Linked DNA regions of Alligator mississippiensis. The protein of the gene in region 1 purifies or fractionates together with the protein of each later gene. This does not show direct contact. Links are inferred from orthologs where the notes say so. Each region holds a gene or a part of one and is shown in the gene's direction. Other genes may lie near its edges. The genes, in order: PPP6R1, PPP6C, ANKRD28 and ANKRD44.

What was found.
Region 2: the proteins of PPP6R1 (region 1) and PPP6C purify together in Homo sapiens (affinity purification with mass spectrometry; 11 studies listed by BioGRID and IntAct, with this or other methods). This does not show direct contact. The link is inferred for Alligator mississippiensis from reciprocal best matches to the Homo sapiens genes PPP6R1 and PPP6C.
Region 3: the proteins of PPP6R1 (region 1) and ANKRD28 purify together in Homo sapiens (co-immunoprecipitation; 4 studies listed by BioGRID and IntAct, with this or other methods). This does not show direct contact. The link is inferred for Alligator mississippiensis from reciprocal best matches to the Homo sapiens genes PPP6R1 and ANKRD28.
Region 4: the proteins of PPP6R1 (region 1) and ANKRD44 purify together in Homo sapiens (co-immunoprecipitation; 5 studies listed by BioGRID and IntAct, counting the BioPlex papers as one, with this or other methods). This does not show direct contact. The link is inferred for Alligator mississippiensis from reciprocal best matches to the Homo sapiens genes PPP6R1 and ANKRD44.

What each region holds. Positions count from the first base shown.
Region 1 is NC_081828.1:39,350,237-39,357,913, forward strand, and holds the start of PPP6R1 (serine/threonine-protein phosphatase 6 regulatory subunit 1), read left to right. Parts: upstream 1-4,670; 5' UTR 4,671-4,679; coding exon 4,680-4,847; intron 4,848-7,677. Other genes in the region: HSPBP1 (hsp70-binding protein 1), read left to right, coding at 106-330, 674-829, 1,164-1,260, 1,591-1,702, 2,394-2,471. UniProt on the Homo sapiens protein: Regulatory subunit of protein phosphatase 6 (PP6). May function as a scaffolding PP6 subunit. Involved in the PP6-mediated dephosphorylation of NFKBIE opposing its degradation in response to TNF-alpha.
Region 2 is NC_081835.1:66,441,425-66,448,545, reverse strand, and holds the start of PPP6C (serine/threonine-protein phosphatase 6 catalytic subunit), read left to right. Parts: upstream 1-4,110; 5' UTR 4,111-4,165; coding exon 4,166-4,240; intron 4,241-4,918; coding exon 4,919-5,014; intron 5,015-5,648; coding exon 5,649-5,714; intron 5,715-6,268; coding exon 6,269-6,410; intron 6,411-7,121. Other genes in the region: RABEPK (rab9 effector protein with kelch motifs), read right to left, coding at 953-1,263, 1,571-1,720, 2,000-2,149, 2,743-2,904, 3,239-3,391, 3,558-3,706, 3,796-3,887.
Region 3 is NC_081828.1:153,582,270-153,589,413, forward strand, and holds the start of ANKRD28 (serine/threonine-protein phosphatase 6 regulatory ankyrin repeat subunit A), read left to right. Parts: upstream 1-4,128; 5' UTR 4,129-5,210; coding exon 5,211-5,327; intron 5,328-6,472; coding exon 6,473-6,556; intron 6,557-7,144. UniProt on the Homo sapiens protein: Regulatory subunit of protein phosphatase 6 (PP6) that may be involved in the recognition of phosphoprotein substrates. Involved in the PP6-mediated dephosphorylation of NFKBIE opposing its degradation in response to TNF-alpha.
Region 4 is NC_081827.1:192,927,767-192,935,694, forward strand, and holds the start of ANKRD44 (serine/threonine-protein phosphatase 6 regulatory ankyrin repeat subunit B), read left to right. Parts: upstream 1-4,927; 5' UTR 4,928-5,000; coding exon 5,001-5,036; intron 5,037-7,928. UniProt on the Homo sapiens protein: Putative regulatory subunit of protein phosphatase 6 (PP6) that may be involved in the recognition of phosphoprotein substrates.

The sequences.
Region 1 (7,677 bases):
AGCTTACAGATGGGCCCTGTACCACTTATCTGGCCCACAGGGCTGAAAGATCGAGCACTCCTGTTGTAGACCATGTTGTCACCCTTATGTGTACTTCCCCCTTAGATTTCTGCAAGCTAGATGGGATGCGGCTGCTGGCCCATCAGTACCTGGAGCACCCGGACCCGGAGCTCCGGTGGCGTGCTGCCCACTTAGTGGGCACCTGCAGCCAGAACGTGCCTACAGTGCAGGAGCAGGCCCTGGCACTGGGCTGCATGCGGAAGCTGCTGCGCCTGCTGGACCATGACCCTGGCGAGATGGTGCGCATCAAGGCACTCTTTGCCATCTCCTGTGAGTCTACTGGCCGGGGGCAGAGTCTGGGTAGTGGAATGGGACAGGAGCATTTTCCCCTTCAAGGGGTGCTGCCTCTCTGAAAGGGGGCACTAGCTAGCTCAGTGGATGGGAAGAAGGCAAGGCCCTTTGCTGTCCAAAGAGCACAGGCCGTGGAGCTCAGGGGTACTGGCAGACTTAGAGGTGGGGATGGGGCAGAGGCATTTTTCCTTCTAGGGGGCACTGGCAGGCTCAGGGGTGGGGATACAGCATGGGCTTTGTAATGTAGGCAAGGGAAGTGGCGGGGGAGAGTCCATCCAGCCCTTGCTGATGGAGTTTCTGCCCCTCTTTCCCCACATGGCAGGCCTGGTGCGTGCCCAGGAGGCTGGGCTGCTACAGTTCCTGAGGCTGGACGGCTTCTCTGTGCTAATGCGGGCGATGCAGAGTCCTGTGCAGAAGCTTAAGGTGAAATCGGCCTTCCTCCTACAGAACCTGCTCCTGGATCACCCCGAGCACAAAGGTGAGGGAGCAGGGGTGAGGAAAAACTGGGAACCCTGTTTACCACACTAGCACTATTATCTGCCTCTGACTGTGCCGTGCAACCCAGACTTCCCTGGCTCCATCCCTGAGTTTGATGCTATGCCCCCCCCCCCCCCCCCCCCCCCCCCCCCCCCCCCCCCCCCTCCTCCGGTCTGTGCCTCTTCTCCCCAGCCTGGTGTTAGGGTGGCACACCTTCCATTCCCTGGGCAGTGCCCCTTCCCCTTCGACCCAGCACTAGGGATGCACCCTCAATCCTCCCAGCTCAACACTAAAGGGATGCTGATGTCCCTGACTACTGCCCATCCTCTCTGCAGAGACCCTGTGCTCCATGGGGATGGTTCAGCAGCTGGTGGCCCTAATCCACTCTGAGCACAGCTCCTTCCATGAGCACGTTTTGGGTGCCCTCTGCAGGTGAGATGGGGAAGGGGCCTGGAATCCTGGGGTGTATCCCAGCTCTGGGAAGGGAATCTGGTGGGTTAGGGCTGGAACATGGAAATCAGGACTCCTGGATTCTATCCCAGCTTGGGAAGGAGTGAGTCTGGTGGGTTAGGGCCAGGGGCTAGGAATTGGGTCACCTGAGTTATTTCCCAGCTCTGGGAGGGGAGTGAGGCCTAGCAGGTTAAAGGCTGACAGCCTGGACTCCTGGATTCTCTTTGCTGGAAGATGGTGCAGGGTGGGGGAGAATGGCAGTAGGTTGTGTACTGGGCCTGACTCCCCCATCCACACCCCCCTGCACTGTAGCCTGGTGACAGACTTCCCTCAGGGTGTATGGGAGTGTCGGGAGCCCCAGCTGGGGCTAGAGGAGCTGCTGCGGGCTCGCTGCCAACTGCTGCAGGATCAGGAGGAGTTTCAGGTATGGGTCCAAAGTGGGGAAAGGAAAGGAGTCTCTTGGTCAGAATGGTAAGATCTAGGTACCTTGGGGCTGCCACACTCCAGCTCAGCCCCTTCTCTGCACAAGGGGGTACCACCATGCTTCTTCCCCCTACCTCAGGGCAAAGAGGGTGGGGGTCTCTCTTCCTCAGCCTGGCCCTAATGGGGGGCCACCCTGTGTCCCCTTAACCCTATGCTGAGACTCGCCTGTGCCCTTGGCACTAGGGAGTTGGTGTTCTGCCACTTGCTGGTGGTAGAGAGTATGGAAAATGCCCCAGTTCCTCATCTGGCACTAGGGGGTGTTATGAGCCCTACTCTTTCTCTGGTACTAGGGGACACCATCTTCACTAGCCTGGCAATAGGGAGGGACAGAGAGAATACCACTGGAATTCCCTCCCCAAGCTGTGCCCTGGCTCCCTGCTCTGCCCTGCCCTGCCCTGCCCACAACAAGGTGGTGCCCCTTAGTGCTGCCCTGGGGCACTGGGGCCAGCAGTAGCTGTGAAAGGCGGGTGCCTCCTGCCCTGCACCTTTGAGTCTCCCATCCAAGTCGTAACCCAGCCAACCCTGCTTATCTTTCCATGCTGGTTGATAAGAGATCAGAGCATCCCTGATGAGCTAAATAGGAGGAGTAGGTGGCAGCATAGTGTGTATTTAACCCCTTGCTCTCCCCACAGGAGGAGCTGGAGTTCTGTGAGCGGCTGCTACGAATATGCTTCCAGACCCCACCTGAGGAGAGCAGCATGGATCGGTGACATCCCCCGCCCTCCCCCAGCTCAGCAGGGGAGCCCCCTACCCTCCCAGCATGCAGCCCCCAGCTCCTGCCCCTTCATGGCAGCATGAGACACCAGAACCTGCCAAGGGGCCAGGCTGGACCAGAGCTCTCTGCTGGGGTGGGTGTGGCTTATTACCCTAATGAGGGGGTGGCACCTGGCACATGGTCCCCTCCACACAAATCTACTGCTTCCCAACCCCTGCCCTCACAGTCCTTCCCCTCCTCCACTACCCCTAGCCCTCAGGCAGACCGCCCACTCTTTATCCAGATCCCAGCAGCCCCTTTCTTCCTTCTTTCCCCCTCCCATCTCTGATGCTGAGTCAGGTCTCATTCTGCTAGCAAGATCCAGCTGCATGTTGTTAACCTCTGACTTATACTGGGACTGGCTGAGGAAGGGGAGCTTTCCACTTCAGGGGGCATCATATTTCATCTGCCTCCAGGCCAGCTTGGAGTGGGGCAGGAGGCTTTACCTTTCACTGGGGGAACCAGCCCCTCTCTGACATCACCTTTTAAGTCTTGAAGTCATCCCACCTTGAAGGAAGATGACGTGTGAGTTCAGAGAACTGGGCAAAGCAGCTCTATTCCTTGCCATGCTATCCTTGTGGGGGTGAGGAAGTGAGGCAGCCATATTGATGGGAGGGGTCCCACCTTTCAAGTCCTGGGGATTCCCCAGCAGCCCTCTTCCCCCTCTACCTGTTCATCTGTTCTCTGCTTGTTGCCAGTGGTTTTCTAATAAAGTTTCTGGTTTCAGTGATTGCTTTTCTGCCCTCCATGGATGCTGTAGGCCACAAGGACATCACTGGGACTTCAGAGCTGTTCAGGGGGAAGAAAATGATTGGTATGGGGGGCACATGGACTGGGGGCAGAGAATGAGACAGGGGATTTTCCCCTCTGGGTTGCTGCCCCCACTTCCCTCCAAGGCAGGGGCTCTGGCTGGCTCTGGGGGTGGGGATGGGGCAAGGGCTGGTCCCTTTTAGGTGGTGTTGCTCTGCCCCTACCTCACATTTATTCTGTGGTATGAGTTACTGGGTCTCAGCTTGGCTCCCAGCCCAGTGGCAAGTGGCTCCATCTTGTGGAGAACCCTGGGGCTCCCATCATTGCCTCTGCCTCAAAGCAAGGGCTCCCCAGGGCCTGGAAGTCGGTAGCAGTTTCACAGTGAGCTGCCCTCAGCCAGGATCTGACCTGGGGTGCCATACAGACAGCTGCCATGATGCTCTTGAATATCCCCTGCTGCACCTCTTGCTAGGGAGAGGGTAGGCTGGGAGAGGCCTGCCTCAGGCATTTATTACAAAGATCTTCATGGCACCCAGATCTGTGCGCCCAGTGCTCATTGGGGGAGTGGGGGTGCTTTGGGTATCACAGAATGATGTCACAGATGGAGCAGCTGATGTAATCAGCTCAGGAAGAGTGAGGACGTTACACACGTATAGCACAGGCTCACTGGAAAAGTCATGTCCTGAATGGAAGATTGTAGTACAGTGAGGATGTTCTGAGCAATGACAGCATGGCTGTGATGTCATGATTAGTGATGATGTCACAACACTCAGGGCAGTGGTGGTGCATTCAGTAATTCATAAGGCAGGAGTGCCATGCCTGAGGTAGCAGCTGTCATTCCTGTAGTAATGATGTCAGTGCTCTAATTACTTCACTGAGCTGATATCAGGTGAGATAGCATGGTGACGTCATAGAGGGAGGGATGATGTCACTTAGCTGTGACGCCACGCCAAACCAGGCCGTTAGACTTGCACGATGATGCTTTTAAGTATACATTTCCAATTTCAGAGCTCTTCGCAAATTCTTTAAAGAGCAAGCAGCAATTATCGCGCACGCCCGTGCGGGGTAGCATGTGGGACATAAGTGGGCATGCGCAGTGCCAGGAGACCCGGCGCAGGGGAAGGCAGGTCCGCGATTGGCTAGTGCTCAATGAAGGGCACCGGGACCAGAGCCTGAGTGCGCATGTACGTGGTGAAAAGGCGCATGCATGATTTCCTGAGGCCACCTGCAAGACCATTTGCGCATGCGTTGCTTCGTTGGGCGGGAGGAGTAAAACCCGCACATGCGCACGCCTAGTAGGCACTACCGGCCCGGAAGAGTTGGGGGCGGGAAAGTACATATGCGCGGCTCTTGGACACGGGCCGGAGAGACAGGTGCGCATGCGCGCGGGGAGGTGGGGCCACCCTGCCGCCGCATGCGCATTCCTCCGCCTACGACCCGGATCCTTCCCGAGAGAAGTGGTTGGCCGGCGCATGCGCGCTGCTCCGGGGGAGGGGGTTTGGCAGGGAGGCAGAGCGGCCACTGGTTCTGGGCGCAGGGCATTGTGGGATCGCGGCGGAGCCAGGAGCTCCAGAGGGGCCCGGTAAGCTTCCGCTCTCGGTCGCCGCCATGTTACGCCCCCCCCCGGGGCCTTCCACCCTGCCTGAGGGGCCTGGGCTGGGCTCTCACTCGGGGGCCCAGCCTGGGAGACTCGCAGGCACCCCCACCCATGGGGGGTGCCCTCGCCTCGGGGTGGGGGCGGGTCCCTGTGTCCCTACCCGCAGCCCTCCTCCCCCATGGGCTGCTCCTGCTGCCCTTGGAGGGGGGGGCGCACAGCTCAGCCCCCACCTCTGCTTGGGGGGGCTGCATTGGGGACTGCTCCAGGGCATGGGGCAGCCCCTCCCCACTTAGCTGAGGGGCGGGGGGTCAGCCTCAGAGCATAGGCTGGGCCTTGCTCCACCCTGGTGGGGGCTGGCTCACTGGGGGCAGCCCTAGGGCAGGGCTAGGTCCCTGACCCCCCTTGCCTGGGAGGCAGCTTCATAGGGGGTGCAGCCCCAGGATTAGCCCCTGGCCCCCCCCCAGCTGGAAGTTGCCTTTGTTGGGAGGGGGTAGGGGGTGCAAGGGGTTTAGGTTTCAGGGTTCAAGTGCTCTGCTCGTTGATCCAGCAAGGGGGGATGGGGGTGGCGGCAGGTTAGAGCAGAGGGCTGGAGCCAGCTTCGCTGTCTGGGAGCACTGGCAGGGAAAGCAGGACAGAGTATCCTGTCTGATTATCCTTGTCCGCCCACTGGAAGGGGCTGCCTGGGTCCTGCCACCCCTCGGAGAGCTGCCCTCCTAGGGGCAGGTTGGGAGCCAGGGTACCTGGGCACTATTCTAGCCCTGGGAGAAAGGAGGGCCTGGTGGGTTAGAGCAGTCAGGGACTGGCAGGCAGGATGCTTGGGCCTGGAAGGGAACTAGGGTTAGTGGCTTAGAGTGGGGTAAAATAGGGGGAGGTAGGGGTTCTCTGCTGTTGCTTTTCTGCTTTATTTGGAGGGGCAGATCTCTGTAGCATGCCTCAGTTTCTCAACCTCTGAAAGGGGGGTGCCAGCACCATTGTACTCCTTAACCAGAAAGGACGGGGGCCTGGGGGAGCAGGCAGGGCTTGGTGTGTGTGTGAACAGGCATTGACATCTGTTGGTGAGAGGCTTGGGGGGGAGGGGCAGCAGTGACTGTGACCTGCAGGCAGCTTCTGGCATCTGTACCCCCGGGCTGCCTGTGCCCAGCAGGACAGCTGTCCAGAGGGGTAGGCAGGACCCAGCCAGCCCCTCCAGAGGTGAGGCAGCATTGGCAGATGGTCTGGTTTTTCCTGGGCCTCTCTCATGGTGCTACCAGCCAGCTGAGCCTGGTAAAGCCTGTGACTGTTATGCTGCTGGACATGGTGTGGGCTTGGGGAGGTTTTGCATCCAGGTGATGGAGAAGTGCCCTGTCTAGGAGGGGGCTGGAAGCAGGGTACTGACCCATTGAGTGTATAGGGAGCTGTCCCCAACCTTTAGCTAGGGGGTGAGGCATGAGCCAGGAGCCTTCCTTGCCTGGGGAGTGCTGGCCCTGATCAAGGGAGGGAATGGAGTACAGAGGGAGGTCTAAGAGTACAGCCTAGGAGTCTCAAGGTCAGATCTTGCTGCTGACTTGCATGGCAACCCCTGGGTGGAGGAAGTTAGGGAATTCTCTCTGCCTTAGTTTTCCTCTGTGGACAAGAAGTCCACTTTCTGGTCCAGCAGCTGTACTGATGGGGATGGATCTGCCCCACAGGAAGTGCAGAGGGGAAGGCTTCTGTGCCTCCAATGAGCCTCTTTAGGGTCTCCAGTGGGCAGGGAAGAGATGTGTTACTAGGGGTGCTGGACTCTGCTGGCTATGTTGGGTGGGGACTGTGCTGGGACTGGAGGGCCCTGGCTGTGCCATGTACTGCCTGGGGACAGCCTGCCTGGCCTGGTATGAAAGGGGGCACTGCTAGAGACCCAGTCTGGTTGGGGATTGGGTGTGTCTATGTGGGGAGGGGGGTGGGAGTCAGTGAGCTGCCCAGAGCTCCCCCATTCTCCAAGGGGTGTGAGACCCACCCCAATTAGACACCCGCTAAAGGACATTGCCTACCTCAGAGTGTTAAGGCAGGGGCAGATGGTTGCCCCCATGTTAGGGGGGCAGCTCAGAGATCTGAGAGAGAGGAGAAGGCCCTGCCCTCTCCTCAGCTCTCCGCAAAACTGCTGCTCAACTGTCTTTGCAAACCCATTTCCTGTAGCTTCCGTTCTCTGCTCAGCTCACAGCACTGCCTGCCTGGGTGCAGGGGGGTGGGGAGATGGGAGGCTGGGGACCTGCTCAGCCAGCAGCTGGGACTTGACGGGGCTAAGGAGCATTTTTGCTGCCCTGCCTTCCTCCTCCTCCCAGCTCAGAGGAGCTGTCCCCAGGCATGACTTGCTGGAACCTGACTATGGAAGGGGTAAGGTTCCATGTCCTCATACTGGGCTCAGGACTCTGGCACTACTCGTCACCTTCATGACACTCCTTATGATAACCCCGCAGAAGCCTGGGGATTGCAGGGGTTGAGATCAGATCCAGACCTGCCTCTGGGCCATGGCCTGATCCAGCTGTGGGACTCTGGGCCCCTCCTGGGCTGTCTCAGTTTAAGCCAAGCACCAGCTCCGGTTGTATATCTGGGCGGTGCCCAGCAGGCTAGAGGTTGGGTCGGAGCTGGTGTTTTGCCTGGTGTGAGGGGGGCCTCTAGTTTGGGAAGGCATCACTGTGAAGTGGGGGGCCATGATCCTAGGGGGCTCCCTGGCAGAATGGAGGTCCCCATTGCAGCCTGCAGGGGTGCTGTGTGCAGGACCCTGATGTAATAGTCCCAAGTCTGAACTGGAGAGGGAGGTTCTTTAGCATCTCATGGGATGGGGTCCCTAGACTTAGCT
Region 2 (7,121 bases), on another chromosome or scaffold:
CTTTATTTAATATTATTTCCCCCCCCCACCATTATACATCACACTCACTTTGCATGTAAAATACTGGCCAATCTAGCAGGTTTTGGGGAACACTGTAAAGCTCACTTCTGAATATGTGCAAACATGCTAGCTTAGTATTCTAGCCTTAAGTTGATCTTGTGAAAACAAATGTAGGGCTTAATTTGTACTGCTACCTAATGCTTCCATGGCCTGTCAAAGCAGTAACTTCTGTATTGCATATCTGTGGTGTGCATCTGTGAGGGTCTTTTTGCCTCTTACTTAAAAGTAGAGAGACTTTATTTATCTCTATACAGCTAACAACTTCTAAAGTTAGATGTCTTATTTGCTGCTTAGTTATGCTTAACACTACAGGCTGGTCTTGCTTTTTAGAAACCTGTATGGCTTGTACTCACCTCAAAGGAACAAGAGCAATGCTGCTCCATGTATTATTTCCTCAGTACAAGATCCTCCTACCCTACATCTAAAGCATATCTGGCCCCAGTTTAGCACTCTTACTAGTGCCATCCCCACACACAACCAGGTTGGTAAAATTCTACATGAAGGCAAACCCTCAAGACAAGAAACCAACATAAAAAGCTGCAGGGAAAGGGTGAAAATAAGGGACTGGGTTTATCTACTGCAGATCATGCTCTATGGCTAATCCTGTTCACAGGAGGCAGAGTTCAGAGTTTAGCAAGGACATGGAAAACAGCTGCAGCACCTGTTAGAGGATGTAGTTGTTATCTCAAGACTTGGGGGGGGGGGGTGTTTTGAGAATCTGAGTCAGGTGAAGTAATGTGATCATCACTCAAGACCTCTAGCCAGAGCACTTTCTAAACAAGGTGTACTGAGCACAATGCTGTCAGCTTGCAGCAGTCCTGTTTATTGGAGCTGTGTTACTAGTTAAACATACAAAAAGGGCAATGGGTCTATACAAGCAGTGAACCCTGCATTACTCAACTAGACATACAAGACAGTCCCTGTAAATTTCCCCTTGAGTATCCATCCCCCCAAACACAAAGAACAGATGCACAAGTGTGTCTTCTACATTTCCTTTTCCACTTTGTTTGTTCTGACTTGGGTCACCTTCTTCAGCAACTGTAACAGCTGCTTCCTTCTCGGATTTGTCTCTGTTTGTTGCAGCTTCCGAAACATTGTTCTCCACACTGTTACACACTTGCCATGGAATTATGCACATGGAATGGTCCAGCCTTCCAGGGGGCACGGGGGAATCAAATTCTAGCAGTGTCCAATGCTGTTTTTCTGCAGCCAAAGAGAAAGAGACAGTTCACTGTGGAATCAGCCCACAACTTCACAAAGGACAGGGGCATCAAAATTATAAGCCAGTATGCAAATTCTCCCCCCAAAAGTAGGTAGCTAGACCCAAGAGACTATGGTATTACTCCTGTTCCACACTGACATAATACAAATGATTTCAGTTAAATTATACATGAATTAAAACTACAGGAGATCAAGGGAATCTAGGACCAATGTAGTAAATCCTATCAAAGAGGTTAATGTCTTCCTTAAGTACGGACACCTTTGTATAGGTGAAGGAAAAAATGCCCACCTATGTGATATCTGTACATTGTATCCAGTGCCCCAGTTGGGTCTACTCCACCAAAAATGTAAAAATGGTCCTTAAAGGCAGCAGCTGAGTGTGCTGCCCGTCCTCCTGGGACATCGCCAGTCGCTGGTACCTTTTCCCACTTCATATCACCTGTAATAGGAAAAAACAAATCAATAGCTATATTGATGAGATCTGTGCAAACACTGTCATCACTTTGGGCATGCCAATAGAAATTGTTTGCTTACAGACTGCAGTCGTCTGTGCGTTTACCATATTGTATGCCTGCTCAGACAGATGCAGAAAGCATGACAATGAAAAAAAAGTCCCTCGCATCTGCAGCCAGCCACTTACTGCACTTATGCAATGGTCGGTTCAGTGATTTACATCATAGTATTTAATAAAGCAGACACAGCTGCCTCACATACTTACTTGTATCCAAGCAAAAGAGATCGTCATAAAATTTTTCACCAGCTAGCCCCCCGTGCAAGAAGAGCCTGCTCCCAACTGCAACAACTGCATGCCCTTGCCGAGATGCAGGAGGATCCCCGTGCACTTCTGGCTGTGACCAAGTCAGAGTGACTAGACAGACATGGGAACATATACGGGCATTAGGAAGATACTTGCTGAAGTTCTGTAAAGCCATTAAACTAGCAGGGTTTCCAAGAGAGGCATTTTCACTAGAGGTGATACTGTTGAGAGCTCAACTGGAATACCGTGTACAGTTTTGGTCACAGGATCAAGGGTGAATTCTAGCTGAAGGAGGCACAAGGAAGGGCGCTGGGGGGTGATCGGGAAAAGGGAAAGCCTGTCTTATAAAGACAAAAAAAGGTTGGCTTGTTTAGCATAGCAAAAAGTGAAAGCTGAGAGGGGATATGACTGCTGTTTGCAAAGGTATGGGGGCGGGGGGTGGAACACCAGGGCAGGAGAAGAACTTTAAGCTAGAGGCCAACGTTGGTGAAAGAACAAATATACGCTTCCTGTGTGTAGATTCAACTTGGGAACCAGAAGACAAAGCCTAACACGGACTCCTGGCCACAAATCAGGCTTCCAATAACACACTGCATTTGAACGTGCACGTCTTATTTGTGCATCTAGTTCCTGAGCTCCGCGTAACGCACATTCACTCCAAACAGACGACGAACGCGTTTAGAGCTTCGGATCCTTGCAGTTACCTGTATCAAAAACATGAAGCCGTTGATCTTTAACAGGCTCCGCTCCTTTATCTCCTCCTCCAAACACGTACAAGCAGTCTCCTACAACAGCCGACGATGAATGAAACGTCCTTGGGAGCGGCCGAGTGCCAGTCACCTCAGGACTTTCCCAGGTTCCCAATTCTGATTAAAATAAAATCGTCATTGGCTGCGAATAAGTTTCACCTGGAAATCAGAAGACCGTCTAACCCCCGGATGCTCATCTTGCTGGGGTGACCCGACCCAGCCGACTTCCCCCCCCCGGGGCAGATGATCCCGCGAGGGCCCTTCCAGCCCTCGCGTCTATGAATTTAGCCATGAGCAGCAGAGTGGGTTAAAAAAAAGCAAAGTAAATCAAGGATGTTTTAATCCGGAGGCCGACGCTTAGCGGATCAAGGGTTGCTCGACGCACCGGTCTAGAAGCAGGCTGCGTTCCCACAACACCGTCCATCCGCTTCCCGCGCGGCCGGGCGCTCACCTGCATTCAGCACCTGCACGCTGCTCCTGTTCCCCGCCTGGTCGGCCCCGCCGAACACCCACAGGCTGCGCGGGCGGCCGGCTGGGACGAAGGTGGCGTGCTCGTACCGGGCCAGGAGCCCCGTCCAGCGCGGCGGGGCCCACCTGAGTGCACCTGCCAGGCAACGCACAAGGCTGGTGTTGTGGCAAACCGTTCCAGTCGCTATTTCATTTTTTTTTTTTTTTATTTTTAATTTTTTTTTTTTTTTAATGTTATTTTCAACAAAAATCCGGTCGGCCTCGTGAGCAGCTAGGCCGCGCCCCGCCCCCCCCCGGCTCACCCAGCTCCAGGAGGCGGGCGTCGGAGAAGCTGTTGGCGGGGTCGGCGCCCCCGACCACGACGACGCCGCGGGCCTCGGGCCGGGCCCAGTAGCAGCAGCCGTGTCCGACGCGGGCGCAGGGGCCGTCGCCGCGCGGGGCCAGGGCGTACCTGCAAGGGCACGCGGGGCGCGTCAGGGGATGCAGGGCGGGGCGGGGCGGGGCGGGGCGCGGCGGGACGCGGGGGCGGGGAGCACTCACCAGGCGGCCCGGCGGGGCGCCGCCCCGGGCTCCAGCAGCGGCAGCCGCATGGGCCTGGGCGAGCGAGGGGCCTGGCGCCCGGCCCGCCCCATCGCTGACAGGAAGACTACACTTCCCAGCGTGCCCCGCGGAGCAGGCTGGGAGGCGAGCCAACCCAACCGCGCCTCACGCGCACCGGAAGTCTGTGGAGGGAGACGAGCGACTTCCGCTTCCGGCACTGCCGGCCGCTCAGCTGTGCCGACGCTCGCTCCGGAAGTCCCCCCACTTCCGGCCTCTGCGAGAGGAGCCGACGGGGGGGTGGGGGCGGGATTTTAGCGCTCCCCGGAAGTGCCGGGCCCCGCTTCCGGCGCCCCGGAGCCGCTCTTCCAAGATGGCGCCGCTGGACCTGGACAAGTACGTGGAGATCGCGCGGCTCTGCAAGTACCTGCCCGAGAACGACCTCAAGGTGAGGCGCCCTCGCCCTGTCACAGCCTTTGCGGCTGGGGGGGCCGCCGGGGCGGGGCCCAGCCAGCTGCATCGGGCCCGGGGGCCACATCCGGCACCTGGGGCAAGACCCCCACCGTGTGTGTGTGTGTGTGTGTGTGGTGGGGGAAGGGAAAGGGGACACGGTAGTGGCCACCATTCCCGCGCCCCGAACGTGCTGGCCCGTGGGGCACGGGCAGGATGGGCACCGTGGCTGCACGGGCAGCATTTGTGCATCGGGGCCAGAGGTTGAGCACGACCCAACCAGACAACGCCCCGGCTGGGACGGTGGAGCTGGGCTGGTCCTGCTCGGAGCAGGCCCGGACGAGATGGGTTGCAAGAACGTATTAAAGGGCTGCAAACGGACTTTAAAAATGGATTCTCCTTTAAAGGAGAAAAGCGTGGGAAACCGTGGCTTGCTGTTTGCCAGCTGGCAGAGGTCCGGGCTGCTTGGGGGCTCCCCCTGTAGCTTTGTCATATATTTATGTCCAGTTATGTTAAAAATTTAATTGATTGATTGATTGATTGATTTTTGTGTGGAGATTTGGAGCTGAATCTACAGCTTACAGGCACAGCACAAATGCTTCAGTGAATTAATTTGTTACTACAATGCGGGTGCACTGACGTACCGATCCATACAAACTCTTTTTCCCCCCTGTAGCGCTTATGCGATTACGTGTGTGACCTACTGTTGGAAGAATCCAATGTGCAGCCGGTATCGACGCCAGTTACGGTCTGTGGAGATATACACGGGCAGGTAACGTTTCAGTGCCGCGTTTCGTGCGTGTTTCCTGCCGGACCCGCCGAGAGCAGGAAGCCACCGTTCTTCCAGGACTGATGGCAAACTGCAGCTGAGGTGTATGGTGGGGAGCCAGGTTTAGCTAATGGACATTCAGTGACTTCGAGCATTTGGTGTGCTCTGCTGTTGGAGTGAAATGCAAAAATATCTCGTATTTTTCTCAGCGTTTCTCTGTGCGTAGTAAGGGAGCCCCTCCCAGAAGCGTTCCCGAGCAATCCTCCCACCCAGCGACCCGCTGGAGAGCGGTGGTGTTTAGACTGAAGCTGTTCAGTACTAACGGGGCCTCGTCGCAAAAGGGTGGAGCTCCATTTGGGTTCGGATGTTATGCTTGCAGGATTGATTCAGGATTTGCAGCTGTACAGCAGTTTGTGCCCAGTAAAATCAGCTGGTTTTTGGGGGGGTTTTAACACTGACAAAGTGCACAGAGGGCAGCCTCCCCGTTCCGGTCATGACTGTTTATCAGCCTTCGTAGAACTTTGTTTCAGGCAACTCCTATCTTGTGCTTTCCTATTTCCAAGTGATGACTGTTGTTGAAAGCGTGTTAGCCTGCTGCTAACGCAGATTTTTAATGTGTGCAAATTCTTCTTTACAGTTTTATGACTTATGTGAATTATTCAGAACTGGAGGTCAGGTTCCTGACACAAACTATATATTTATGGTATGTAAAAATTGTTGATCACGCAAAAGGTAATCATTTTTTAAAAATATACTGATCTAAAGGGGATTTCAGCTCTCTTTTGGTTTTCATTTTCATTTACAATTCTTGCTTGTAAACATCTTAGGCATGTGAAAAAGCTTTCCACTCTGTTCACCCTCTTTTCTGGTAACATGTAGCATTTGCTTTGTCCAGCAGAATTTGAAATATTCAGTGCTGGCTCTCCCAAAAGGAAATAAATTACAGCATTTGCTAAATAAAACCTGTAGTTCATGATACCAACAAAAAGGACATCCTGAATGTGTCTTAGAACATGTGCAACCTTATATGACCCGAAATATAGGAGCATAGGGGGAATATTTGTTTTCAGCTGTGAAATTTTGAATAATCTAAATCTTAGCTGGGAATTAAAGTAGTCTTCAGAGTTGATAAAACAGAGATGAAGACTGACATTCCGAGTCAGACTTTTTGGCAAATTGAGGCATTAGAAATAGATGCGTTACTATGTGACAAGTTGACTTGCTTTCTACTTATAAATTCGTACTTTCAATTTACAGGGTGACTTCGTAGACAGAGGTTACTATAGTCTCGAGACTTTCACCTACCTTCTTGCACTAAAAGCTAAATGGCCTGATCGTATCACGCTTTTACGGGGCAATCATGAAAGCAGGCAGATAACACAAGTGTACGGATTTTATGGTAAGACTGGTTAACAAGGCAGATCTTCCTTAGGGACATCTGATTTTTTTTTTTCCTGCTAGTGTATATAGCTTTCCTGTTGGCAGAGTGGGTTGTGGAAATGGGGTCCAGTCCCTGATCTTCCATAAAATTTTAAGCAGGTCTTCAGCTTTATTCCAATTTCACGGATACGTTGTATGTTAATCACTTGAGAATGCCGAGGCGTAATATTTGAAGTACTCTGGTATCTTGTAAAGTCCTATTAGAAAGCAAAATTAATATTGAGATTCTCATTAGACCTGGTTTTATTCTGTGTTGTCATAGTAACAAAAATGATTTACCTGGTAAGCTGTGAGTAGGGCAGTAAATGGACATTAAGGGATAGATGTTTCACCACTATTAAGCAACAGAGCCGCCACTTAAATATTGAGGGAGTAGATGCGCCTAGAAGTGACATCTCAGTTGCTGAAGTGACGGAGCCTGCAGCAGAGCCTTCAGGCACTAATAGCTGTTTCGGACAATGTGTAGTCCATAACGGGATGCATGTGACAGCAAGGACAAATGGGTCTGAATTTTGACATAGTGGCCTAAGATGGCAAAGGAATCCTTGCTTGCTAGGTACAGGTTGCCTAGAGCTGTTTTAAACCTAGTTCATTACAGCTCTACTGCAGGCTGTGTCTCCTCTCAATTTGGGCAGGAAAAGGATATTATGTAATTCAGCTGCCTGTGCAG
Region 3 (7,144 bases), about 110 Mb from region 1:
AACCCCCAACAAGCTATATGTGAGAAATGCATAATTGCATTTGCAATCTTTGCAGTTAAAATACAGTTAATACTACCATTTTAAAAATTTAACAAATATGGAAAAATATGGTCAATAGCCATTACGGATGACTTTACTTAAGTAGCTTAAAAAAGGAGGCGTACACCCATTGGAAGGGAGGGACCATCACAAGAGAGGAGTATACCATGGTAGCTTGGGAATGTAGGGGGGTGGTCAGGAAGGCCAAGGTGGAAATGGAGCTGGGACTAGCGACCCAGATCAAGGACAACAAGAAATCCTTTTTCAAATATATAGGGGGGCAAAAGAAGGTGCCAAGTAACATGGGGCCTCTGCAGGACACGCTAGGAAATCTGGTCATCTCACCTGACAGTAGAGCTGACATATTCAACAATTTCTTTGCCTCCATATTTCTGAGGAGGGACCCGGATATCTCCCCCACTGGCACCCCCGAGGGCCCTGTGGGTGGCACACCCAGACCTAGGATTAATGAGGACATTGTCAGGGAACTTCTGGAGGAACTAGATGTATTTAAATCCGCAGGTCCTGATGATCTCCACCCCATGAGTCTTACCTCGGTCCTGGGGAAGCTTTTTGAAAGAATTATCCTGGCACATGTCCAGGAAGGGCCAGCAGGGGAGGTTATGCTCGGGGGCAACCAGCATGGGTTCATTAGGGGCAGGTCTTGTCAAACCAATCTGGTGTCCTTCTACAACCAGGTCACCAAGTCCTTGGATGCAGGTGTCGCAGTGGATATAGTCTTTCTGGACTTCAGGAAGGCCTTCATCATGGTCTCTCACCCCATTCTCAGTAAGAAACTAGGAGACTGGTGTTGATACCTACAAGGTCAGATGGGTCACTAACTGGCTGGAGGGCCACACCCAGAGGGTGGTGGTGGATGGCTCTTATTTGACCCGGAGGGATGTGGGCAGTGGGGTTCCCCAAGGCTCGGTCCTCAGGCCCACACTATTCAACATCTTCATCAGTGACTTGGGTGAGGGGGTAGAAAGCACCCTGTTCAAGTTCGCAGATGACACTAAGATGTGGGGGGAAGTGGGTACGCTAGAAGGAAGGAACAGGCTGCAAGCGGATCTACACAGGTTACAGGGATGGGCTGAAGAGAACAGAATGGGGTTCGACACTGACAAGTGCAGAGTACTGCACCTGGGGAGGAAGAACCAGCGGCACACATACAGGCTGGGGAACTCCCTTCTCGCCAGTGTTGAGACAGAAAAGGATCTTGGAGTCGTCATTGATGCCACAATGAACTTGGGCTGACAGTGTGGGGTCGCGGTCAGGAAGGCCAACCATACCTTGTCGTGCATCCACAGATGCATCTCAGGCAGGTCCAAGGAGGTGATCCTCCCCCTCTACGCAACACTGGTCAGGCCGCAGCTGGAGTACTGCATCCAGTTCTGGGTGCCACACTTTAGGAGCAATGTGGCCAATATGGAGAGGGTCCAAAGGAGGGCCACCCGCATGATCTGGGGTCAGTAGGACAGGCCCTACGAGGAGAGGCTGAGGGACCTGAACCTGTTCAGCCTCCAAAAGAGAAGGCTGAGAGGGGATCTAGTGGCAGTTTACAAACTAGTCAAGGGGGACCAGCAGGCATTGGGAGAGTCCCTGTTCCCCCAAGCAATCCCGGGAGTTACAAGAAACAACGGACACAAGCTAGCAGAGGGTAGTTTCAGGCTAGACGTTAGGAAGTGCTATTTCACTGTCAGGGCGGCTAGGACCTGGAACCAACTTCCAAAAGAAGTGGTGCTGGCTTCTACCCTGGGGGTCTTTAAAAGGAGGCTGGACAAACATCTGGCCGGGGTCGTTTGACCCCAGTACTCTTTCCTGCCATGGCAGGGGGTCGGACTAGATCATCTCCTCAGGTCCCTTCCTACCCTACCAACTATGAAGCTGTGCTGCTATAAAATTACTGTCAAAACATGCCCTTGTGTTTTTTTTAATAACTTGTTTTAGAGTTATAATGTTAAATTACCATTTTGCTTTTCCTTAAGCATGACGTCATACTCATAGCATTAAATAGACTAATTGGATTTCTTGCTGGATTCTTGATGTAGCTAGGTTTTGAATCATTTGTAGGAATTATAAACTGTAAGTTTCTAAGTCTGAGATCAAATTAAGCCTAGTTGTACAGTGTTTCCATCTAGCAAGTATATTAAATTATAATTTATAATTGTAATCTGCAGTTACTTCTTTTCTTTCTTTGTGTGCTTTCCTTACATATTTCTCAGTCTTTGAAGACTAATTTCATATATTATATGGGCCTGGCCAGTAGAGCTGTGGTGAACTATGTACTCATACGTAGAGCAAGAGGATGCTGGTGGTGTTTAAGTGAGTTTCTTGTTTCTTTTTTAGAGACAAATTGGTCACTTTTTTTCAGGAGATTATTTATAGACAGAAATCAGAAAAACCTTGTTTCCTGTACACACAATACTAAAAAAAAGCTTTCAGTGAGTATCATGTGTCATTGAAGATCCACTGACATTGCTTGGTGAACTTTTAAAAATAACCCATTCAAAAATAAAATTGCTATTATTCTGAAGCAATTTTTATAAAAACTTGTCCTTACAGGTAAATAAACAATGTTTATGTGGTACATATGTGAAGATTTGGTTACTGTGTTGAGCTCTTCCAAAGTTAGTTAGCCAGAAATCTGGGTTTTATTCTGCCAGGCTACCAATCCTGAGCTTTGAGCACCAAACTAAGGTAATATTTGAAAGTGTTTAAAAGCATGGCTTCCCTCAGAGTTCTTTCTAGGAAGTATAGGAAACTATTTGAGTATGTAGTGGTAAAGGCACTGTAGATAATTTTAAAATAATACCAAACTATGATATATATTTGCATCAAAGTCTGCTGTGAGAATAATATTCTGATTCTTAACATTCTAAAAGTATCTGAACTAGTTAAAATGCTTGAAACCTTCTCTGCCTGGGTTAGTTAATAGACCCAAGTCTATTAACTAACCTCTGCCTGGGTTAGTTAATAGACCCAAGTAACAATATTTTCTTAGGGTCATTGAGTTTTTCATTCTGTTCCCCATTTACAGATTGCAAATTTATCAGCAATTGAGAAACATCAAAAATGTCTCCATAATGCCTAGTATGAACAAAACCCCACTGTTTGTGTAACAGAAGCATTTCCAACAGTTTTGTGACACATGATGCATTTATATAATACACCCACAGATCAGTACACCTACTTTAAGCAGACTCAAGGCAAAATATAAATTCAACTTTTTGGATAGCTTTATTAGGTTTGCGAAGGGTAGATTATACTTGGTCTACTATTTTACAGGCTTCTGGTTTTTGAGACCTCTGTGCATTTGTGTTCTGTTGCAACAAAAATGGTTTTGGTAAGTAGTAGTTTTTTTTAGAGAGTTTTTTTCTTTTTCTTTTCATCTTTCTCATTTTAGCTCTTAGGACACTTATGCAAATAAATGTTCTTGATGTCTTCAAAGAGTTAAATGAGAATGGCTTTGCTGCTCTGTGCAGTGACATATGAAAGTAGTTAGAATGTTGGAATTGTTTACTTGCCTAAATTGTTAGACGGCACAGCCAGTACACCAGATTTCCTTGTGGCTTTTAGTGGAAAATATTAAACACACACTCTTTCTTCAGTTATAGAATTTTTACGTTTGAGCTGAATTAGTCATCAAACTGGTACAAACATTCCAAATGTGAAGACTGCCCAAAAGTCCTTTTTTTTTTTTTTTTGCTAGAGGAAGTTGCATTTGAGAGCAGTGGCTCAGTTCTCTGGTAAGTGTAACGTGAGCATTACTAGGCATTTCATCTTGCAGGTCTGCAGTCTGTGCTCTTTAGACTATTGCTCAGTTGGAATGCTTCTGTGGGTGTGATTTTTGTGCCGTTAATGTGTTCTTTAATGACCTATTGAGGCAGTAGCTTTGCATGAACTGCTCAACACAATCTAAAAATCACCAGCAAAAAAACTGATAAAAAGAACGTTGAACGCCGGAGGAAAATCCAATTGGCACAGAGACAGATGTTCGAATAAAGAAGTTGGCTCAAAGAAGATGCACGGAGTCTGATTTTTTTTTTTTTTTTTTTTTTTTTCTTTCCTCTCCTCTGAGTGAAGACTATAATGGGAACTGTATTCACATGGTGATCAAAAGAAACACTTGAGTGATGAACTGCTTTTTCAGAAGTCTAAGGCAGTAATCTGAACCCTTGTGCCTTGGTAGCTTGCTTGTTTTTGCTGAAGCAGTCTTCCTTAACAGCATTTCTGTCTAATGCCTTCCCTGTTGGAGCAGCCACAGCAACTGCCTGATTGAGGAAAAAATGAATTTTCTGCGTTGTTCGTGTCACTGATGGAATAAAGCTATCTACATTTCTGTCATTTGGGAAATCTGGATTAAACGGGCAGTATTATTCCAGGACTTCCATTGTCCCTTGTGGTCTGACTCATCGCATGTAAATGTACTGCAGCTTTGCTGTACATTGCAGAGATTTTTATTGCATGGGAAAGAATTGTCAACCTCTGAGCATCATGTTCTGAAGGACTGCTGAAAAATTCGTGTGGACTGTGTTTGACATTGACAAATGAAGTTGCCAAATTGCAAAATGATTAGAACCTGAACCATTAAGAACAGTTGTGTTTATTTTTCAGTCACCAGAAAGCCTGATACTGTTAATTGGAAACTGACCTTGTGGGACTGTGTAGCTGTGATCATCTCTGTCAGAGCAATTGTTCCTTGTTTCATTCTACACAGGATAGTGTCATGTCGTCTACAACAATGATTTTACTGTGTGGATAAATTTATGCTGTAGAAGTAGCGATATTAAGAAAAACATTTGCTGGTGAAAGGACGTAACAGAGATTTATTACAATGACATTTTTACTGTAATGTAGTTATACTGAAGACTATTTTTGATACATTTTCCACAAATTCAGTGTTGTAGTGTAGATGTTGGATGAAATCATATTTTGAAAAAAATACATTTTTTTTAAACAGGATCATTTGAGCACCCCAGGGTGTTAAATATAGAAAATGAAATATAAGGAAGTGCAACAGTGTCCTTTTTTAGTATTAAAACACCAGCAGTAGGTTCAGAACTTAAGTTTGTGAGTATATAGGCAGAAGAAAGTGTTTTCTGGGCTGCCTCGACTGCGATTTCTACAGTGCTGTTCTGAATATAGGTTTTTATTTTCAAACTGATCGAATGAGTCGAGTCTGTATTGTTGTTTTGGAGGAGGTAGAAGATGATTCTCCCACATTTATTTCCAAATTACCTCAGGAAAACCTATCTCTGCGTCCATCACCTTCTGGAAGTGTGTTGGTAAGACCTGTCTGTTTTGTTAAATGTTCAATGTTTGTAAGAGCGGCAAAGTTCCCATGATGCTTGTCAGAGGGTTTACATAAATATGCAAAGTAGTAGCTGGATTATTTTGTCACTGAACGAGCAGTTGTAATTAAAAATGTAAACTAGCTATGTTAAGCAGAGAGATGTTTGAAACTTACTTATGAAATTAAAACTTTCAAGGGCTCTTTTTTAAATGTAACTCCTTATTTGTGACACAGTTAACAAATGGGAGCTTTTTATTTTTAATAGCAGTATACAGTTTCTAGCAAGCCTGAGCAAATGACATTTGTGGTAAACATTTCCTCACTCCTCACTGGTGTATCTATTTAGTACCACTTTAGAAACTGATGTAACCATTATAATGCAGTAATAAGCTGTGTGTATTTTGAGAACTGGTACAGTAGATGATGTACTCTGAGCAATGTCAGTCACATACTAAAATAAAAAGTTAAATCAGATTGTAGATGAATGTAGCTGCTGCTACTTTGCAGAAATGTTCAGTGCTCTCTTAAAAAATATGAATTTTACAACAGAATTTTACTTTGGTTAACTGACTTGCTGTTTGATTCTGACATGATATGGTCTTAGAAGTTTGTGATGCTGGCTAGGAAATCCAGTTTTATATTTAGTAATAAATGTGTCTCTAATCCATGAGCATTTGTTACTATACCTTTCAGTTACTCTGTGCTTTCTTATCATATATCCAAATAGATATGAATTACTACTTCAACTTTAAGAATATCAGATATACTTGTTTCTGAATACTCTGTAATATGTTCTAGACTAATTATGTTTCTTTTGAACAAGGATTTTTTCAGTGCATTTCTTTTAGCTTGTCAGTAGACTTATAAAAACCTAGATGAATTTTTTTAAATGAATGGTTGATTGGTTTGTCCAAAATTAGTATGATGCATTTTTTCCTTGAGGGTTTATTTTGTTTTTGGCTTCTTCCAAGCCAACATTCGTAGTTTCTGTTGTCTCCCTTCACTACCTTGGGTATTGGAGGTATTTTAATTTGGTATTTTTAGTGGTGTGTTGTCATCAGAAAAATGTACTTGTAAAGTAAATATTGGAATGGAATGTATGTTTATATAAATTTAATTTATTGTCTTTCTTTTCAGCCACCGCTGGTTCAAGCGATATTTAATGGGGATCCTGATGAAGTTCGAGCACTAATATTTAAGAAAGAAGATGTTAACGTTCAGGTAAAAAGAAAAGTGTCTTTTACCAAGTACAGATTAATTTTGTTTTAGCACAGTCCCTTCCTGTATTTTACCTGTTCAAAACTGTTTATTTGGGTACCTTAATTTTACTAAAAGGAACGAGGCCTGTAAATAACATATAAGTACAGTAGTGATACTGCTGACGAGAGGAGCTAAAGAAATAAATATATTTAATGCAAAACTCATTTTACTAAATTTATTTAAGGAGAAAAGAATTTTTAAATGTTGGTTAACATTTAGGCTTTAGATTTCCAGTTCATTTGTACATAAACTGAACATTTGCTTGTTTATATTCAAGTATTAGAAATGGCAGGAAAGAAAATTCTAGGTTTATTATATTAGTTTTTAATCAAATAGTTGCACAATATTCAATTTGTATATCTTAGCTCAGGGGTGCTTTAAACATCTGGTCCTAGGAGGTGGATGAACCAGCCAATGGGGATTCTTGTGGGCTGGACCATCCACCTTCCTGGGCCAGATTTGGCCAATGAGGCTTGTCACTGTGGCTGCCAAGGAGTTAATGTTACTTGTCTCCCCCTTTCACTCCCTTTCATCTTTTCCTCTTCCCTT
Region 4 (7,928 bases), on another chromosome or scaffold:
AGGCATATGATAAAAACCTGTTTCCCACTGCCTCCCCCCATCCCCTGAACACAGTCATTCAAGAGGAGAGCAATTAGAGGGGAGCAAAATCTGTGAAAGTACTTCAGAGTGCTGTAAAACATATTTGGAAATGCAAGTATTTGAAGCATGTGGGGGAAAACTCTTTAAAATATGAGCGAACTAAGGAGCAACCTAGCAATATGCTTGAAGTATCCAAAAAACATCTTGGAAACATCGTAGCAGTTCACTTCATGCCTGCATTAGTAAAAAGTCATGCCATCTATAAAGCACATTTAATTACAACCAAAAAGAAGGAAACTCTGTAACCAGAACTAATATATAACCAAAAGGAGAAGTAGTCTATTCATAGCTATTGCTGTATGAGAATATATGTATTTAATGTGACACTGAAGGCGACCTTATAATTTTGATTAATAGGGGCATCTCTGGAAAAGTAAACCCGTGTGACAGGAATAGATAAACACTGACAAAATCAATACTGCTGCGAAATAATCACCTACTTCACTTCACTGCATTATCTTTTTAGTAGAAGAAATAAGAACCTGCAAACATCAAAGTCACAACTTCAGCAGTTTGATTTGGCACAAATAGGAAAAATGAAGGTTCAGTATACATGTAATCCTTTTCACTCAAAGGACCAAATGATATTTCACTGTAGCAAATGCTACATCTTGCAAGATGTAGCAAGATGGGAACTGAACATCCTCTAAGTCTCTGCAAGACTTTGTGAGGATCCTTAAAACTCCTTGCTGCCCATGAGTTAAAAAGGCAGACTAACCGAGAAATCCCAGATAGGATTATCCGATCAAGACAAAATATTCAATGCATGTTACCTTTCCTGTGAGATAATGTGCTAACGCAGGGGTCTCAAATCTGTGGCCTGCAGGCGAAATCCAACCTGCAAATCCATTTCACCGAGCTTCTGGGGCTCGGAGGGAGGGGGGGTAGGAATTTAGGGGCAGGGTGTACAGGGATGGGGCCTGTAACAGTTGGTGAAGATCAAGAACATCATTGGTTCAGGTCTTTCAACATCCATCAGCAGCCCTCACTCATCTGCACACAAGCCCTCACTCATCTTACACAAGTTGCATTCTGTGACTGTCAGGCACTGAATAGAGGAGTACTTTCACAGATTCTCAGAAGTTTAGGGCTGGAAGGGACCTCTTGAGATCATTGGATCCAGCCCCCCTGCTCTGGGCAGGTAAGACTGCTGGGGTCAAATAACCCCAGCAAGGTGTGTGTCTAGGCTCCTTTTGAAGATCTACAGGGCAGGTGCCTGCACCACCCCTGCTGGGAGTCTGTTCCAGAGTCTGTTCCAGAGTTTCCCATACCACCCACCAGCACTTCAGGTTCTTCATTCTGACTTCAGATCTCAACAATAATACCACAAAATATTTTGGGTATTTTCCTTTCTGAATGCAACACTTCCCCTTCATTCCATATGCCTTCGAATCTTCTACACACCCACACCTATACCCACTCCTGGCTAGGGTATCATTTACAATTCTGTGTTGTGCATTTCAGTATCACCTGGCAATAAAAGCAAACCCATCAAAGTACATATAAGCACAACAAAGCCAAGGGGGTTCCATGGGACTAACTGAAGGTAGATATTTACCTATATTCTTTTCAACAGCTCTTTCCAAACCATGGAGTATATCTTTCTCTCTCACTGTTTTAATTCATAAAAAGAATCATTATGTTTGTTAAGAGTGAATTCCATTCAAAGTGATAGGAAAATTAAAGCATATGTGGCAGCTCTTTATCTTCATCAAAGGCTTTGTAAATGAATATACAAAAAAATCATAACTAGTTTTTAGGCAGAGTAAATCCTGATGTTATGTCAAACAGACTATAAATATCTGTGTAGAATTTGAAAAGTAGGGTATTTTAAGCACCCCACCTTGAAAATATGTATCTTTATTCTGCTGCTGTTCTCCATGTTAAACAACTGATGCTAATTATAAAGGTCAAACATTTGCTGTAAAATTGGATATCTGATCCAAATGTGTTGTAGCAGAATGAAGCAAGACAAATGCCAAGCTGTCTTACCATGGATCTTTTCAATTTAAGAATTCGCAGCACTCTGTCCTCTTCTAATTGAAGCAAAAATGTCACCCATTACAGGATTTGAGGACTTCTTAAAATAAAATCTTCTCTGGTGATATCTATTAATTTTTCCCATGAGCAACAGACTCTGTCATGAATTCTGGCTTTAAGTTTTTTCTGGTATGCCTAGTAATAGTATTGTCATTTTTCTTCAGAAGAGCATTATTGGCTGTCGGTGTTTCTCAAATGAACACTAGCATTAATGTTGTTGTTATAATAATTAATATCTATAGTAGTAGTAGTACAGTAGTACCCAATCCAGCACTTCACTCTTCTGTTAAGCATTGTGTAAATGCATAGGCAGATGCAGCCCTTGCATTTTAATATATAGGATGACTTCTTTTAGTTTTATGCAGTGTCTGAGCTAAAGATCTTTATTATCACAATTTATTTAAAATATTTATTTCAAGATAAACATAACAACAAAATGCCTTTTTACAAACTCTGAGTGCTCTGGCATCTACTTGGAAAAAAATCTCCCTTGTCTGTTAAAAGTTAAAGGGGAAAAAATGCCACAAATTCTAATTCTGGTCCCACCCTGCCCTGCATCCCCTCCCCCACAAAAACAGGTGGTTAGTTAAAAAAGTGTGTGAAGTACAATTTTGTCACTGAAGAAAAACACACCTTGGCCACCAGAGTTCTCATTCATTATAATAGAATTCTGGGTGGTAACTAATGTACTGAAAATGGGTATCAGGTGTTTAGGCAGGTGAACACCGACTAATCCAAGTTGCTTTGTGTATGTCTCATTTGGCAGCAAAGTCAGGTTTCAGTAGAGCTTAAAGCTCTACTGAGGTTGTAAACTTTTGCTGCTGCTGTTTGGTATTTTAATGGAAATTAGACATGAAGAAATAAATACTTAATTTTTGTGTGCTTTCTTACTTCATAACAATTGACTGGCTTCTCAAAGCTGTTAGTGTAAGATGAGGCTGCAATGCCTGTTATGTACAAATTCCTATTTTTGTATACTTGAGTACAAGGTCATAGAATTGTTTTAAGCTACTCCTATTTTTCTGCTGGAAAAAGCACAAGTGATTACACCTGCTATGGGTTTATATAGCACAATATCTCCATAGTCATTATGCGGATAATTTTGTCATTGTGCATTGTGTACTTGTGCTGATGTTATGTTAGTTAGCTAACTTCCATGACAGAGCAATGAGTAGCTGTTGGTTCTGTTGTTTTATGATGATGTTTTAGCTATCTTTTCAAAACATATAGAGCCTTGCTGTCACGGCGGGGTCCTTCAGGAAGGACGTGGTCTCCTTAAGGCCCTCTCTCCATGCCAAGTCGGCCCAAGGGCACCCTCAAATTCTCGCCCGCCACATCTTCCTGGTAAATATAATAGGGAGGCTGCCTTGCGTCTCCTTGGGCATGTACACTCCTGGACCCCTCGTGGGTCTTATCCTGCACCCCTGGGTGTTTTGGGGCACCCTAGCCTTATGGGCTACGCGTGGCTTCTACCACCCCTAATACCATGCCCCAAGCCTCGCTGATGGGAAAGACGCTGGTATGTCTTTTTATAAATATATATTGCCCGTCTCTCGGGCCTCCTCTGCGTGCTCTTGCCCACTCTCTGGGCCTCCTTGTAATGTTGCCCCTCTCTGGGGCCTTCGCAATAGCTCCCCCGCTTGGGACCTGCTACACCCGTGCTGGGCTTCTCGGTAATGCCCCCTTCCTGGGGCTCTCCCTGCGCCCACACTCAGGCCTCTAAAATACCGCCCCGTCTGGGGCTCTCTGCGCCCACTCTGGGGACTTCCCAGCAATACCCCCTGACTCTCAGGCCCACCGCGCTGCTCTCCCCTTCTCTCAGGGCACACCGTGCTGCTACCCCCTCTCACCGGGGCAACCGCAGCACTCTACCCTGCTCTGGGGTTTGCCGCAGCACTAGCCGTTCTTCAGAGGCTCACTGCACCCGCACTGGGCCTCCTAATAATATTACCCCCTCTCTAGGGCTTGCTGTGCCTGTCCTGGGCTTCCTAATAACACTGCCCCCTCTCTCGGGGCTCGTTGTGCCTGCACTGGGCTTCCTAGTAATATTGCCCCCTCTCTGGGGCTCGTCGTGCCCGCACTGGGGCGTCTCAAAGCTGCCCCTCTCTGGGGCTGGGGTCTACGTACCCCGCACACAATGTCATCTTAACCCTATCAATGACACTTCAAAACCCAGTTTAAGATGAACCCGGATGAATGTAGCATCAGATTTAACTGATTTAGGTTATATTGGTTTATTGAACTTATGTCCCAGATCCCCTCCAGATTCAAGTTAACTCAGTCACCCAGCATCCCAGAATGCCTTGTACCTCCCTCACAAACCTCCCTTTACAGGGTGGGTGGGCTAGCCTTGACCAAAGCTGTTTGCTGCAGTGAGTAGGGAGATGTGCCCTAGCACTGCCCCCAGTGGCATATTGACAGGGGGATGGGGGGGCCATGCCCCTGGGCAGTGGTCTGGGAGGGGCACTGGCTGGGCCCTCTATGGGGTATCTGGTTCTGCCACCAGCATCTCCGGCTGGGGACAGGAATAGGGTGGGGAGGAGGGGGGTGCAAATGTAAATATTGGCCCCCAGGTGTCAGAGACCCACAGTATGTCACTGCACCCTCCAGCTTCTGGCCTGGGCCCCTGCGGGCATTTGGCTGCATCTCTGGAGTCAAAGGTGAATGTCTGCTCGCTTGCATATCTGTTCAGTGTGTGCAGCTTCGATTAACCTGCAAAGGTTGAATTGATTCTGCCGGGCTTTTTCGCTGTTTGTACTTAGCCAAAATGTCCATCTATTAAAACAGTAAAAACACATTTTTTATTGTTCCTTTGTGTTTTACCTTGGCAGCCACCACTGGTTCAAGCAATTTTCAGTGGTGATCCAGAGGAGATACGGATGTTGATCTACAAAACTGAGGATGTCAATGCTCTGGTAAGTGACTCTGTAAATGTATTTATATTGCAGTCCATGAGCAAAATAAGCTGTCCATGACTTTAACATTTATAAAAAAATTAAAACCAACACAATAAAAAATAGTTAGGAACTAGAGATTCATAGCTTAAATAGTAGTTTAAGTCAGTAATTAGGATTCTGTCTCCAGCATGTGGAAGTTATTTTTTTTAACTGTACACAATAATTACTTAAAATGTCCAGGTCAATCAGGGACAGTTTTCTCCAAGTCCCTGTTGTTGTGAATGAAGATAGCTGAAAGCAGCATATCGCGATTCTCTGTAGAATTTCCCTTTATAATGAGCCTGTGCAGATCAGGGGCTTTTCTTGAAGCTATGAATATACTTAAGATAATTTCACTGGAGCTTGCAAATGGCAGAAGTAAGGGAGTTTTAGCTTGGCCAGTGACATGCACACAGAGGAATTACTATACTGCAGATTTGCTTTATTTCTAGCCTGAACAATGGTAAGCTGCTGTAAACAACAGAGGTTAAGTATTTTCACAGTGGAAAATCTTAAACTGAACTGCCCTTTTTGCAGCAGCTTTTTGCCTTATGCTTTTCCCCTTCATGTTGAATTACAGTCAGGATGTTAAAATGAACAATTTTTGCTGGCATTTTGACTATAGTCTGTGAGCTCTGGAAGACATCGGGTGGGGGGGGGGAAAAAAAGAAGAGACAGAATACTGGTGTAGCTTAGCTGCTTTAAAACTGTTATCCTTTTCCTTTGTCTTTTCCATTTAACAACATAGTAATGATTTTATTCATAGTTAATTCTAGTGGTTTGCCTGATATAGCGCACTGCTTTGGGACTTCAACTTCTGTAGCCAATATTGTCCGAATGTCCAGTTGAGGGGAGGAAGCATTAGGGAGCAGTACTTGGGTCTAGTTAAATTGGACTCCATTTGACTTGCTGTGAAGTCAAGACTTGCTTTCAACTTGCACAGGAATCAGATCAGGCGCAGAGAGAGGGGGAAACAAGATTGGAGATCTGATCTCTTTGTAAATATCGGTTCTTGGGTCCTTTGCTAAAACCCTAAAACATGCTGATTTAATATATTGGCTTTTCCACATCCCCTGGATTTCCCACCCCGCCAATGATAAAAATTAAATTTTGCAACACGTGCCATTTCTAAGACGTTCTTTGTCCTGAACGTTTTAGCTCTTAAAAATGGCATTTGTTGTACAGATTAAGATGGTTGCATGCTTTCAGGTTCCGCTCTTGAAATGTTTTTATATCCCTTGGGCTCAAGGTTGCTGGGAAATGTTGCTATGGAGATGCACTCAATTGCTGGGTAAAACATTAAATGGGTTGTGTATACTTTAAATATTATGGTATTCACAACTAATGGAAGAAAGGTCATTGGACAGGAACATTTTTATGCAAAATCATGTTCCATATAATAAAAACCTTTCCAAGAATGTGTTGACCTAGCAGCAAACCTATCTTGAGCTAGAAAATTAAATGTTCTTTGGAGTAATTAAAAAGATCTTTGCCAAGATGCATTCAGAATCATTAATTTCAAGTATAATTTCAGGTGAATCACAAGCACTAGAAACATCACTATAAGAATGGGGATGGAAGAGTGCACATCTGTTACCTGCTGTAAGCTGGCTAGTCAAAGGGACTGCCTGTAATTCTCTTTAGGATGTTTTTAAATTACTTCCATGTTAGTGTTTGAGCAATGTTGGGCTACTTCCAGCCACTTGGTAGCAGTTGTTTCTTTGTTGATCATTTCTGATTAACTGGAATAATATTGACATTTGAAAGTGTAAATACAAAGTAAGAATAAAATGCAACTGCGTTCACAGTCAGCTGTGGAGTTTTTCTTAGCTTAAATGTCATGTTTCAGAGCCCATAGCAGAGAAGCTATTAATATAGCAGAACAAAATTGGATATGAGGAAACTATGAAAAGTAAGTGATACCTAACAATAGGAAACTGTGGCAAGGCTGTGTGAGAGTTGTTGTTTTCTAAGGAAAGAGAAAATTTAACTATGTGGGGAGGGTTAGTGGTGGGGTTGGGGAAGGGAGGGGAGACTTCATAGCTAGTCTCAAGATAGCAGGACAGATTTTGTTGCTTGGCAAAATAACTGAGAGCTCTTCCTGATCCTAGAGATGTCTCCAGAAATATTAAATAAAATGGCATGTTTATACCATCAAAGGATTGTTCTAGCCTATAGCTACTTCATGAACTATGCACCAACCATATGTAATGGAGCTGCCATGATGTAGTGTTGTGCCTGCATCAGTAAGCTCACTCTCTTCCCAAATGCTTTTTTGGTGTGCACAAAGGTATCCTGGTTTAGAGTGTAGTGTTCATTGTGCAGGTATGACACGTTTTAGGGCAGTGCTTTCTAATACAGTCCTTTTGTGTTGGCACTGACATACCTTAAGTTGCCGATGCTGCTGCTCTAATTGGGATTTTTATTTTGTATCCAAGTAGAAATTTGCATCTGTTTGGCTTAGAACCGTTTGTTTTAGTTCATTTTGCCAAGATAATGGTCACTCTGACCTCTCTGTGTTCCTACAACTTTGGAGGGAACAGGATGCCGCTTTTTACATACTGATGACAGTGATACTTCCTTTTATACAGTATGGTGGTACTTTATTTACTTTTCTTTCTTCATCCAGAGATGTTCTAGTCTATCTGCAGTCAATCTTCACTGGCCCACTGTCCAGGAAATTGGGATATTTGTTTGCATCTCTGCCCTTTAGTTTCACAGAGCAACATATAATGTACTGTTTGTTGATAGAGCTGGCTACAGACTAGCAATTTTTTACAGTTACTGTGTTTTTTCTAAATGTAAAAGGTAATTGTTTTTCTGTTTATCTTTTAAGATGGAGGAAGAGGGAGATGATTCTGAAGGATGTTT